Linked DNA regions of Cricetulus griseus. The protein of the gene in region 1 interacts with the protein of each later gene in a pairwise test. Links are inferred from orthologs where the notes say so. Each region holds a gene or a part of one and is shown in the gene's direction. Other genes may lie near its edges. The genes, in order: Psma3, Znf366 and Znf385c.

Evidence for each region.
Region 2: the proteins of Psma3 (region 1) and Znf366 interact in binary tests that used the Homo sapiens proteins (3 or more experiments, as listed by UniProt). The link is inferred for Cricetulus griseus from reciprocal best matches to the Homo sapiens genes PSMA3 and ZNF366.
Region 3: the proteins of Psma3 (region 1) and Znf385c interact in a two-hybrid assay, tested with the Homo sapiens proteins (2 studies listed by BioGRID). The two-hybrid records come from large-scale screens. The link is inferred for Cricetulus griseus from reciprocal best matches to the Homo sapiens genes PSMA3 and ZNF385C.

The regions. Positions count from the first base shown.
Region 1 is NC_048598.1:132,396,810-132,400,462, reverse strand, and holds part of Psma3 (proteasome subunit alpha type-3), read left to right. Parts: intron 1-131; coding exon 132-233; intron 234-342; coding exon 343-416; intron 417-2,659; coding exon 2,660-2,732; intron 2,733-3,653. UniProt on the Homo sapiens protein: Component of the 20S core proteasome complex involved in the proteolytic degradation of most intracellular proteins. This complex plays numerous essential roles within the cell by associating with different regulatory particles.
Region 2 is NC_048595.1:317,993,880-317,997,632, forward strand, and holds the start of Znf366 (zinc finger protein 366), read left to right. Parts: upstream 1-1,109; coding exon 1,110-2,411; intron 2,412-3,753. UniProt on the Homo sapiens protein: Has transcriptional repression activity. Acts as a corepressor of ESR1; the function seems to involve CTBP1 and histone deacetylases.
Region 3 is NC_048600.1:113,683,379-113,687,031, reverse strand, and holds part of Znf385c (zinc finger protein 385C), read left to right. Parts: intron 1-1,671; coding exon 1,672-1,782; intron 1,783-3,509; coding exon 3,510-3,653.

The DNA.
Region 1 (3,653 bases):
ATGATCTTACATTAAAACATCAAAATGCCTTTTAAAGACCTTTTAAGCAGAGATGGTCTTTAAATGATACTTAGAGTAAATGATTTTGGTTTGATATAATACTGTCTATTAAATTGGTTCTTTTTCTCCAGGCAGTCGCAGGTCTGCTGGCAGACGCTCGTTCCTTAGCAGACATAGCAAGAGAAGAAGCATCCAACTTTAGATCTAACTTTGGCTATAACATTCCTCTAAAAGTAAGTTGATAATATGTTGAGTGATGGAAATGTATTAATTAAGTAATTAATTAACTTTTGAACAGTGATGGAAATGTATTAATAAGGTCTTTTCCCCTCATAATTACAGCATCTTGCAGACAGAGTGGCCATGTATGTACACGCTTATACACTCTACAGTGCTGTTAGACCTTTTGGTTGCAGGTATGAAATTTTGTGAGACCTTTAAGTCTTATTCATACAGTAGTTACTTTTCTCCACAAATTAGTCCCCCCGCCTTTTTTTTTTTGTTGTTCCCCAAGACAGAGTTTCTCAGCAGTATGGAACCAGTCCTGGAACTTGCTTTGTAGACCAGCCTTGAACTTAACAGAGATCCACCTGCCTCTGCTGGAAGTAAAGGCTTGGGTTGCCATGGCTCAGCTAGCCTTTTCTTAATATCTGTTCCACCTGTGTACCAGGGTTACAGACATGAACCACACTCTCTTCTGTGGATTCTGGGGGTCCAAACTCAGGTTCTTATGCTTGTACAGCAAGCACTCTGCTCACAGAGACACCTCCCCTATGCCCCAGATTAGCCCCTGAGACACCTGAAATATAAATTCTTACCAAGTAGTAGTAGGCAACCATTAAAAGTATACTTTTAAGCTGTATGTGATGGTACATGTCTGTGATTCCAGTTCTCAGGAGGCTGAGGCAAGACGATTGCCCTGAGTTCAGGGTCAGTTTAGGCTACATAGTGAGTTCCAAGCTGGGATATTTAGGGAGTCTTTCTCCAAAAATATTCTAAAAACTGTATAATGACAGGAATCATAGTCCTGGAATGATTATAATTATAATTTTAATCTAATCATAATAAATTCTCTGCAGTTATGTCCCTGATATTCAAATACTTTCTATCTTGACATGAGGTACAGCTATTTAAACACTTAAATAATGCTCCTATGTCTGTTTTCCAACAACTCATAAGCTAGTGTAGTCTGTAATCTCCATACTTGGGGGGGGGTAAGTGGGTGAGGTCAGAAGTTATTGTTAGCTACATAGTTAAGACCAACCTGGGATACAAAAGACTGTCTTGGGCTGGAGAGATGGCTCAGTCTTCCAGAGGTCCTGAGTTCAATTCCCGGCAACCACATGGTGGCTCACAACCACCTTGAATGAGAGCTGGTGCCCTCTGAAGACTGCATACATAATAAATAAATTCTTGGGAAAAAAAAAAAGTTCTCTTGGATGGCGTCTTGTTAAAAAAAAAAAAGACAGTCTCTAAGTAAAGAAAACAAAACCTACTTGGCTATGCTTAATCACAATCAAGTATCTTACTATGTAGCTGTAATCCAGCCTTTAAGTTGCTTATCAGACATATTTCAATAGAGAAATGAAATGACAGATTTATTGAAAACCTGAATCTTATTAATTACCAGTGTTAGACCCCAATAGAGCATTGTTAAAGGTTTCATTCAGATTACTCCTGAAACCTCTCTTTGACTAGAGAATGCCTTTCATCGTAATTGAGTTCCATGTTCATCAGCTCCTTTCTATGAGTAGTGGTTTCTTGGGCATGTGCCATGAATCAGTCATTAATGTGGGCACACAGATGTCACAATGATGAAACAGCCATTAGAGATGAAATGATAGGGTCTAGACATTGGTCCTGAGCACAGTGGAGCAGCAGTTAAGGAGTGGTCTGTTTTCAGAGAGGTGACAAGGAAACGTGCATGAAATACTGGGGGGATGGGTAAAGACTATCTTGTAATGGTGTGGAATGTGGGTATTTCCCGGAGTGCACAGGTAATACAAAGTTATGTAGAAGTGATACTACAGATGTGCAAAGAGACCAGTGTGTAACAGCTCCGAAGTGAAGGGTTTTTAAATGATAACCAGATTTATATTCTGAAAGAAGAATTGCATCAGTTTGAATAGGGAAAAGTGGGCATAGGTTGGATGGTTGGCTCTTACATGATGTGATAGGCTAACATAAGGCTGATTCTCTAAAAGAAATAGTTTCAGAAAATTGGTAATTCACGATCATTTACCAAACCTAATTTTAATTTGTTGAGCATATAAAATAATTGAGCCATTTCTGACCATTGCAGACTAGAGGAATACTGGGAAATGAAATGAAAGGTACATTTCACCACAGTTTGTTCCTTTCGCCTTTTCATGTGCACTCATTTGCTGTGGTTTTCTCACTACATGCCGGTCCTTACTCCTTTTGTTACATTTCTGCCAGGCCATGGTGGTGCACACCTTTAAAACATTGATAAGTCACATGGAATTTCAATACTGTAGCTTAATACTAGTTTTTATTGAAGCTGTCTTATCAAAGAACTAAACTATAAGTTATGTTTCTTACTAATTTATCAGAGAAAAATCTAATCACAGTTTCATCACAGTGGTCTTATATATAATGGTATTGAGAACCATGTTGTAAACTGTTTGTTTTTATGCAGTTTCATGTTAGGGTCTTACAGTACGAATGATGGTCCACAGCTTTATATGATTGATCCGTCGGGTGTTTCATATGTGAGTAAATTTTACATTATTTAAAATTCAATTGTAGTTAAATGGCATTTCCTTATCATTTATATCATTTGCATTGTTTCAATTTTTGTTTAACTCAGTTAAAACTGGGCATAGTGATGGAGGCCAGTAGTCCCAGCTACTTGGGGAGGAGAGGCAGGAGAATTACAAATTCAAGGCTAGCCTGGGCCATCACAAAAAGATCTTGACAGCTTACTAAAGATTAAAAGACTCAGAATAAAAGAAACACCTGGGTATAGCATAATAGTTAATGCTTGCCTACCATGAGTGAGGCCTTGTCTTCAGTCCATAGCATTTAAAGAATAAAGCCAGGTCAAGGTGGTGCATGCTTTTAATCCCAGTACTCAGGAGGCAGAGGCAGGTGGATCTCTGTGAGTTCCAGGACAGCCAGTGCACTTGCACGTAGAGACTTTGTCTTGGGGGACAGGGGAATAAATATTCAAAACTCATTTGAGGAAAGTAGTTTTTTAAATTAATGAACATATTGTTATGAAGTGGAGAACATTTAGTACTGGCTTTCAGGATGCTCTTTACAGGAACTACCTAGTAAACATTTTTTTTGAGTATGTGATTGTCTCATCATTGTATTAAGTCTTAAAACTGAATATAAACTGACGTTTTCAAGGCTTTGGGTTGGAAATCTAGCACAGGGGTGGGGACCAATTTAAAATTTAATTTACTTATTTAATTTTCATGTGTGTTTTGTCTGTATGTATGTGTATCTTGTGTGTGCTTGGAACCTGCAAAGGCCAGTAGAAGGCATTGAATCCCTTTGGAGCTGGAGTTAATGATGTTTGTAAATAGTCGTGTGGGTACTAGGAATTAAACATAACATCTGCAAGAGCAGCAAGTACTCTAAAACACTGGGCCACCTACCCAGCCCCAACTTAGATTCTTCTAGAA
Region 2 (3,753 bases), on another chromosome or scaffold:
TACACTTTTACCCACAGCCTCCAGTGGCTCCAGTTCAGCCCTTACATGTAGTCGGCCTACTGTCTCCTTGAGAGCCTCTAACAAGCAGGGAGGATATCAAAACTCAGAGGTTTTGTGTAGCAAGTACCCTCCCTGAAAAGGCAGAAGCAGCCACTGGCTTATTCTATCTGTGTCACTGTGGAAAAGAAAGAACAATGTCAAGCAGATCCATAAAAAAGAGACATGTCCCTTGGTCCAGACTTTGGTCTGCTGGTTTTTTTTAGCAGTGCCCGAGAGGGTCATCAGGGTGTAGGATCTGGCTTAGTGGGAGACATGGCAGGTTTGATAGGCTGTTCTTGACTTGAACATCTGCATGAAGGGAGAAACACAACTGTGAGTTTAGAGATTCTAACATCGGAATTTCCCCCTTGAAGTTACTTCTGATTGAGATTTAGAAATGTATGGACTGACACAATGACTTCAGAACATGCAAATGCCCACACGTTTTCTCTTCATGTCGGTCTCCTCTACTCAGCAGCTTATCTTGCTCAGAGTGGATACTCATCCACAGTACGTCTGAGCTCAGCATTGAAGTCTTCTTTTATGGTCTTTGAATATTCTAATCCAGTGCCACACAGACTCAAGCACCAGCGGCAGAAGATGGTTTTCATATGCAAGAAACTGACAGATGAAGCACATTAAAAACATCTTGGGTAGATACAACGGCAACTCAGATTGACAAACTCAACAGAATGTGGCCAGTTCTGATTCACCTGAGTAGCTGTGTGACTTGAACACATCGGTTCATCTCCAGGGCCTTGGGGCCCTCACTGTAAATAGAAGGGAGGAGAAGGGGACAACATAAGGGACAGATGAGTTTCAGACAGATCCACTCTTAGTCTCTACGGTACTGGAGGTCTGTGGTTCTTGTAGTTTACAATAGGCCCCGGAGCTCACTCTCATTGGTCGCTGAGTTTAGAAAAGCTCAGAGGGTCAATATAAACTAGTATCACTCTTTGTAAGTTAGTATTGATCCGTAACCCAAACCCTAATTCAGAAAGGAAGGTTGAAAACAAAGCAAAGCAAAACCACACAACAGTTTCTTTCTCTTTAAAGGGACCCTGTCAAGGATGCAGAAGGCAATGAAGATGGTCAAAGATGAGGATGGACCCTTCAACGCCTCCTTTCCCCACTGCCTACAGCCCGAGGCTTCCCGAGGAAAGGCTCCCCAAAGACACTCCTTCCCCGAAGCTCTCCGGGGCCCCTTTTCTCAGTTTCGATATGAACCTCCAGGAGACCTTGATGGATTCCCCGAGGTCTTCGAAGGAGGAGGGTCCCGGAAACGGAAGAGCATGCCCACAAAGATGCCTTACAACCACCCTGCGGAAGAAGCTGCAATTGCTGAGGAGAGCAAGAGCCTGGGCCCTCCGAACCTGGCTCTGCTTTTCCCGCAGCCACAGCGCCCCAAGTGCGACTCTCAGATGATCGACCTGTGCAATGTGGGCTTGCAGTTCTACCGCACCCTGGAGCACCTGGGGGGCAAACCCGTCAAGCAGGAGCCGGTGAAGCCCAGTGCCATGTGGCCTCAGCCTACACCTCCTGCCTTCCTGCCCGCTCCTTACCCCTACTACCCCAAAGTCCACCCGGGACTTATGTTCCCCTTCTTCATGCCCTCGTCCTCACCCTTCCCCTTCAGCAGGCACACCTTCCTGCCCAAGCAGCCCCCTGAGCCAGTGTTACCCCGGAAAGTGGAGCCCCTGGAAAGCGAGGAGACCAAGCAGAAGGTGGAGAGGGTGGACGTGAATGTGCAGATCGATGACAGCTACTATGTGGACGTGGGTGGGGCTCAGAAGCGCTGGCAGTGCCCCACCTGTGACAAGTCCTACACCTCCAAGTACAACCTGGTGACCCACATCCTGGGTCACAGTGGCATCAAGCCGCATGCATGCACCCGCTGCGGGAAGCTCTTCAAGCAGCTCAGCCATCTGCACACCCACATGCTGACACACCAGGGCACGCGGCCCCACAAATGCCAGGTGTGTCACAAGGCCTTCACCCAGACCAGCCACCTGAAGCGTCACATGATGCAGCACAGCGAGGTGAAGCCACACAACTGTCGTGTGTGCAGTCGGGGCTTTGCCTACCCTAGCGAGCTCAAGGCCCACGAGGCCAAACACGCCAGCGGGCGTGAGAACATTTGTGTGGAGTGCGGCCTGGACTTCCCCACCCTGGCTCAGCTGAAGAGGCATCTCACTACGCATCGTGGCCCCATCCAGTACAACTGCTCTGAGTGCGACAAGACCTTCCAGTACCCGAGTCAGCTGCAGAATCACATGATGAAACACAAAGACATCCGTCCCTACATCTGCTCCGAGTGTGGCATGGAGTTCGTGCAGCCCCATCACCTCAAGCAGCACTCGCTCACTCACAAGGTATGGGAGAGGGGCGCCAACGGAGGGGGGTTGCTGATAGACCACCAGGAAAGGAACAGAGCTGGGGACTTGTGAGTGGGGAGATCCGTGCTGCTCCTACCTAAAACGTAGAGGAGCTGTGTAGCCCTGGCCTTACTTGAGTCCTGGGGCCTTCCCCACATCACATAGCAAACAGTGAGCAACATGACCGTAGACAATCAATTAAACCCTTTCCCAGAATAGCCTTAGAGTCCAAGGTGGGACTGGAAATTACCAATGCAGACATTTGGAGAGGACATGAGGAAGAAGGAAGGAAGCAGCTGGCTGCTGTGATATTTCTGCTTAGCCCCCAAGAAGCTCTGGAATTTTGTTTCTAGAAACTTCTTTTAGGGCACCAGTGGGGGGAAAACACTTGTCATCAGATACCAGATCTGGTTTGGGCTATGCCAATGAAAGCCGCTTTCTAGAGAATTCTCTGAGAGCTCTTACCGGCTGAAGCAGGGGCTGGTTCTGTTGGCTGGTTCTGCTGTGAGACCTGCTTCCTCAGGTGGCTATAAACTGGAGCAGGGTTTGGCCTAGTCACTCAGGGCCAGCTCTTCCCTGTCAGTCTGTGGTATCCTTGTGGGAAGCAGGAGGAAGCTTCCTTCTTTGCTTGGTTTTAATTTCTCTGGGCTCAGATCTTCATGGAGAAATATAGACCCAAGGCTGGAGTTTCTGCCTCATTTGTAGCTAGTATTCTGTAAGTCATCAAGCCCAAACAGGCAAGGCCCCAGTGGCATCTTGAGAGCTTACTGCAGCTGGGCTGACTTGGGCCTGCTTTGAGATGCTAAAAGGGGACTTTTGCCCCCACTGACTTCTAGTCTCACCCTTGATCTCAGTGGTTTTCTTGGCAAGGAAGACTTCTAGGAAGCCAGTGTCTCTACTAGACCATCCTTTGTTTCCAAAAGGTCATGAGAGGACTGAGCAGCTGAGGCAACGTTGTCTCTACTCTCCTGGGTTTCATTTGTTAGGCTAGGACAAAACACGCAGCAGAGATGTGCTTCCTGCTGGACAAAGGGCACCTATAGGCACCATCTGAGGGCAGCTGCCTGCCAATCACAGGAACCACCAGCAGAGGACCTGGCCTTAGATTTGGCCACAAAGGCACCATCAGCTTAGCTCAGGGGTGCCTGTGGATGTGGAAAAGGAATCAGAGGTTATTGATTTTCAATCATATGGATTCTACAAGGCAATAGAAAATGAAGTTCGGACGGGGAAAAGAACCTGTTGTCTAACATGTAAACAAAGTGTGTTTTCAGTGGAGACAAGAGAAAACAGTAAGAGGTAGTGTTCACTGAATACTTGCTTGGTGGTTCCCGACTCA
Region 3 (3,653 bases), on another chromosome or scaffold:
TCCTCTAAACTTGTGTCTGTGTATTTCTGTCTTATGTGCATGCACTCAGTTGTGTGGAGTGTGTGTGTGTGTGTGTGTGTGGTGTAGGAAAAATGTTGGAGTACTCCATGAGGTGTGAGGAACAGCACCCTTTTAGTTCTGAAAATCAAATAAAATCAGGATGAACTCCACTCCATCCCCAAGAGACCCACGTGGCATGCCCTCCCAGTAACCTGTAGGAGTCTCCCTCCCTTTTGTCACCTCCAGGGTTGAACACAGGTCCTGAGAAGTATGACATATTTGGGCATGGGTCTATGGGCTTCAACCCCTACTGTCATTTACAGATGTGTTCATTGCTCAAAGGCAGGTGACACCACTGTTGGCCCACTGCCAAGACCTCCCTCTAAGGTCCTGATACGGATCTGCTCTACCCTGGACACTGGCCAGGTTGGAACCTCTGTTCTCAGGGCAGTTGCTATAGCATGTTCTCCTCTCTGCCTCTGGTTTCTTCCCATGGGAAAATTTGCTAAGTTCCTTTTGACTGAACCAGACAACTTCTAGTTTGAATCCAACAGCCTAGGCCCCTAAAGCACACCATGGTGGTCCTGCCTGTGATGCCTGTGTTCTGGAGAGTAAGGTAGAAGGAATGTGTATTAATAACAACCTGGGCTATACAGTGAGTTAAAGGCCAGCCTGAGCTATGAAGTGAGACTCTGTTTAAAAACAAACAAACAAACAAAAAATCCCAAAACTTAGACCCCTGAGAAAAGACAATAGAAAAAAATGTTGAAGAGGCTTGGACTACAGTTCAGTTGGCAGAGTGCTTGCCTCATTTGCACAATGCTCTGGGTTTGATTCTCAGCACTGCATAAATCAGATGTGATAGCACTTGCCTTTAATCCCAATGCTTAGGAGGTAGAGGCAGGAGGGACAATTTAAGGTTATCCTCAGCTATAAAGTGAGATCAAGACCAGCCTAGACTACTTGAGACTATCTCAAAGACAATTGCCTGATGTTACATACCTGTAATCCAACACATGGAAGCAGAGGCAGGAAGACAGCATCCAAGGCCAGCCTAAACTAGATTAGACCTAGCCTCAAAAAATAGAAAGAAAAAATGTATGAAACTTATAACTAGGAAAAAAAGAAAACACTCAAGTTCACATTCTAAAGGGACAATCCTGCTACTTGCCGTGGGGGGGGAACGCTAAGGCCTCCCAGTGCTGTCCTGCTTGGCCACCCAACTCCCTGACCATGCTTTCACTCTCCTTAGCAGACATCAGACTCTGGACAGTAGGGCTGATGCAGTAGGGCTTCTTGTCCCCACCAGCAGGTCCAGATACAAAACCTGGGTTGGGAAAAAGGAAATCCCACCAAAAGAATCTTTGTCCCTTCCCTGTTGTAGTCTGAGCTCAACTCCTTGTCCCAATACTACGCCCTGTCAAAAAGAGAAGCCAATAACCAAGAACTAAGACCAGAAGGGCAGCAAGAGACACTAAGGTGATCCTGCAAGAGCCAGGTCACCCTGGCCATCCCCTTGTGGCCTGACAAGTTGGGTCTGCCAGGAAGAGGCTGTGCCCTTGTCGGGGTTACAGCCACAGGACAGGAGAGGTCTGGGAGGCTGAGCATGTTTGGAGCTGTACCTTTTCGGAGTATGCAGGAGGAACTAAACCCTATCATTCCCTCTCACAGATGGACCCAGTCCAGAAAGCTGTCATCAGCCACACGTTTGGGGTCCCCTCCCCTCTGAAGAAGAAGCTGTTCATCTCCTGTAACATCTGTCACCTGAGGTTCAACTCAGCGGTGAGGGGGAAGTCACAGAAATGTGGGTGGGAGGGAGCTAGGCCTCTTTCAGCTGTGCTCTGACACCCATCATCTGCTGGCCCCTCCCCTTCTCATATCCCTCCCACTCACATGTAGCATGCTGGGGTTCCATTTTCCTCCCCTCTGCTTCACACCTATCTTTTGGATGTCCCAGAGGCCATAGAGTGAGCGAGCTCCTGGTCTTGACCTGAGATGTTTACAGCATATATTCACCCCAGTGTCTTTGTTGGGGGGGGGATGGAACTTGCTACAGAAACTAGGCTGGCCTCAAGCTCACAGAGATCCACCTGCCACTGCCTCCCGAGTGCTGGTATGAAAGATGTGGACCACCACACCCAGCTCCGGTAAATTTTGATGTTGTTGTCAAGGCAGAATCTTACTATGTAGCTCTAGCAATCCTGGAACTCATTCTGTAGACCAGGATGGCTCAAGCTCACAGAGATCCACCTGCCTCTGTCTCCCGAGTGCTGGATTAAAGGTGTGCGTGACTGCACTTCATCAACTCAATGGACTCCCATGATGCATCTGTGAGAGGTACAGAGGCACAATTACCATCTCCACTTTTCTGAGGAGGACACAATCTCAGAGTGGATAAATAGCTTGCCTGAGGACACAGCTGGGAAATAGCATTGCTAGGATTTGAACCCAGTCTTGGCTGACCCTGAGGTCTGCATACTCCTACTGCAGCCTACCCTGGGAGAGAAGGATCTTTACTGTGGTTTTTGGGTTAGATGTTAAAACCACTGTGGATTGTACTCAAACAGATCGAGGAGGACCGTGGAGGCTTGTCTTTCCCACCTTTGGGAAACAGGAGTTGAGAAACCACAAGTAGAGGCTCCTAGTGAAGCAGGGAGGATGCCAATAGTCCAGCTATAGTCTTCTCTCCAGATGCTTAGGTGACATTTCATTCCACAAAAAGTAGGTAAAGAAAATCATTGGAAGGAGCATGTCTCCATCCCTAGGCCCTCGAAGAATGGCTGGGCCAACTGCAAATGCTCAATAAAAAAAATGAACAATAGGATGAATGTTTTTGGAGTACATAAGCCCAAAATATGAGTACTGCTTTGCTTTCCATATGTGTACCCCTTAACATTCAGGAGCCTCTACTTTGTAAACTGACTTACAATTCATATCCCATTTAACCTGGACAGTCACAAAGCTTAAAGCTGGGCACAGTGGTGCACACCTGTGATGCCAGCACTTAGGAGGCTGAGGTAGGAGGATCATGAGTTTAAAGCCATCCTGGACCACACGATAAGTAGTCCATTTCCAGAATATTCGGTATATACAGACACACACCAAGGGAATCACTTGGTGAATGTCCCTGGGCTCAACCCTTCTAGATCTGGGAATACACAGTAAAAGCAAACAGGGCTGGGGATGCAGTCTAGTGGAGAGCATTCACACACACACACACACACACACACACACACACACACACACACACACACACAGGAAATTCAGTGAGGTGCTGTGACTTACCTAAAGAAGCATAGTTTATAAATGGCTGAGGCTGCCTGTGCTGGAGCACCTATGAGGACACACACTGTAAACCTCAGGACCAGATGCACGTGGTAATGATGGTGACACCGACTTCACCTCTTGTGCCCATGCCTTGTGCCTCTTTAACCCTGCATCCCTCTGGCTTGTCCCTCTGCTCAACCTCACTCCCGGATGAGGCATGTGACCTCCCCTCCGTTTCCCAGAACCAGGCTGAAGCTCATTACAAGGGCCACAGACATGCCAGAAAACTCAAGGCTGTAGAAGCTGCCAAGAGCAAGCAGAAGCCTCGAAACCTGACCCCAAATGGAACAGTGGCGTCTTCAGCCTCACCTCCAGCCAATGGAGGC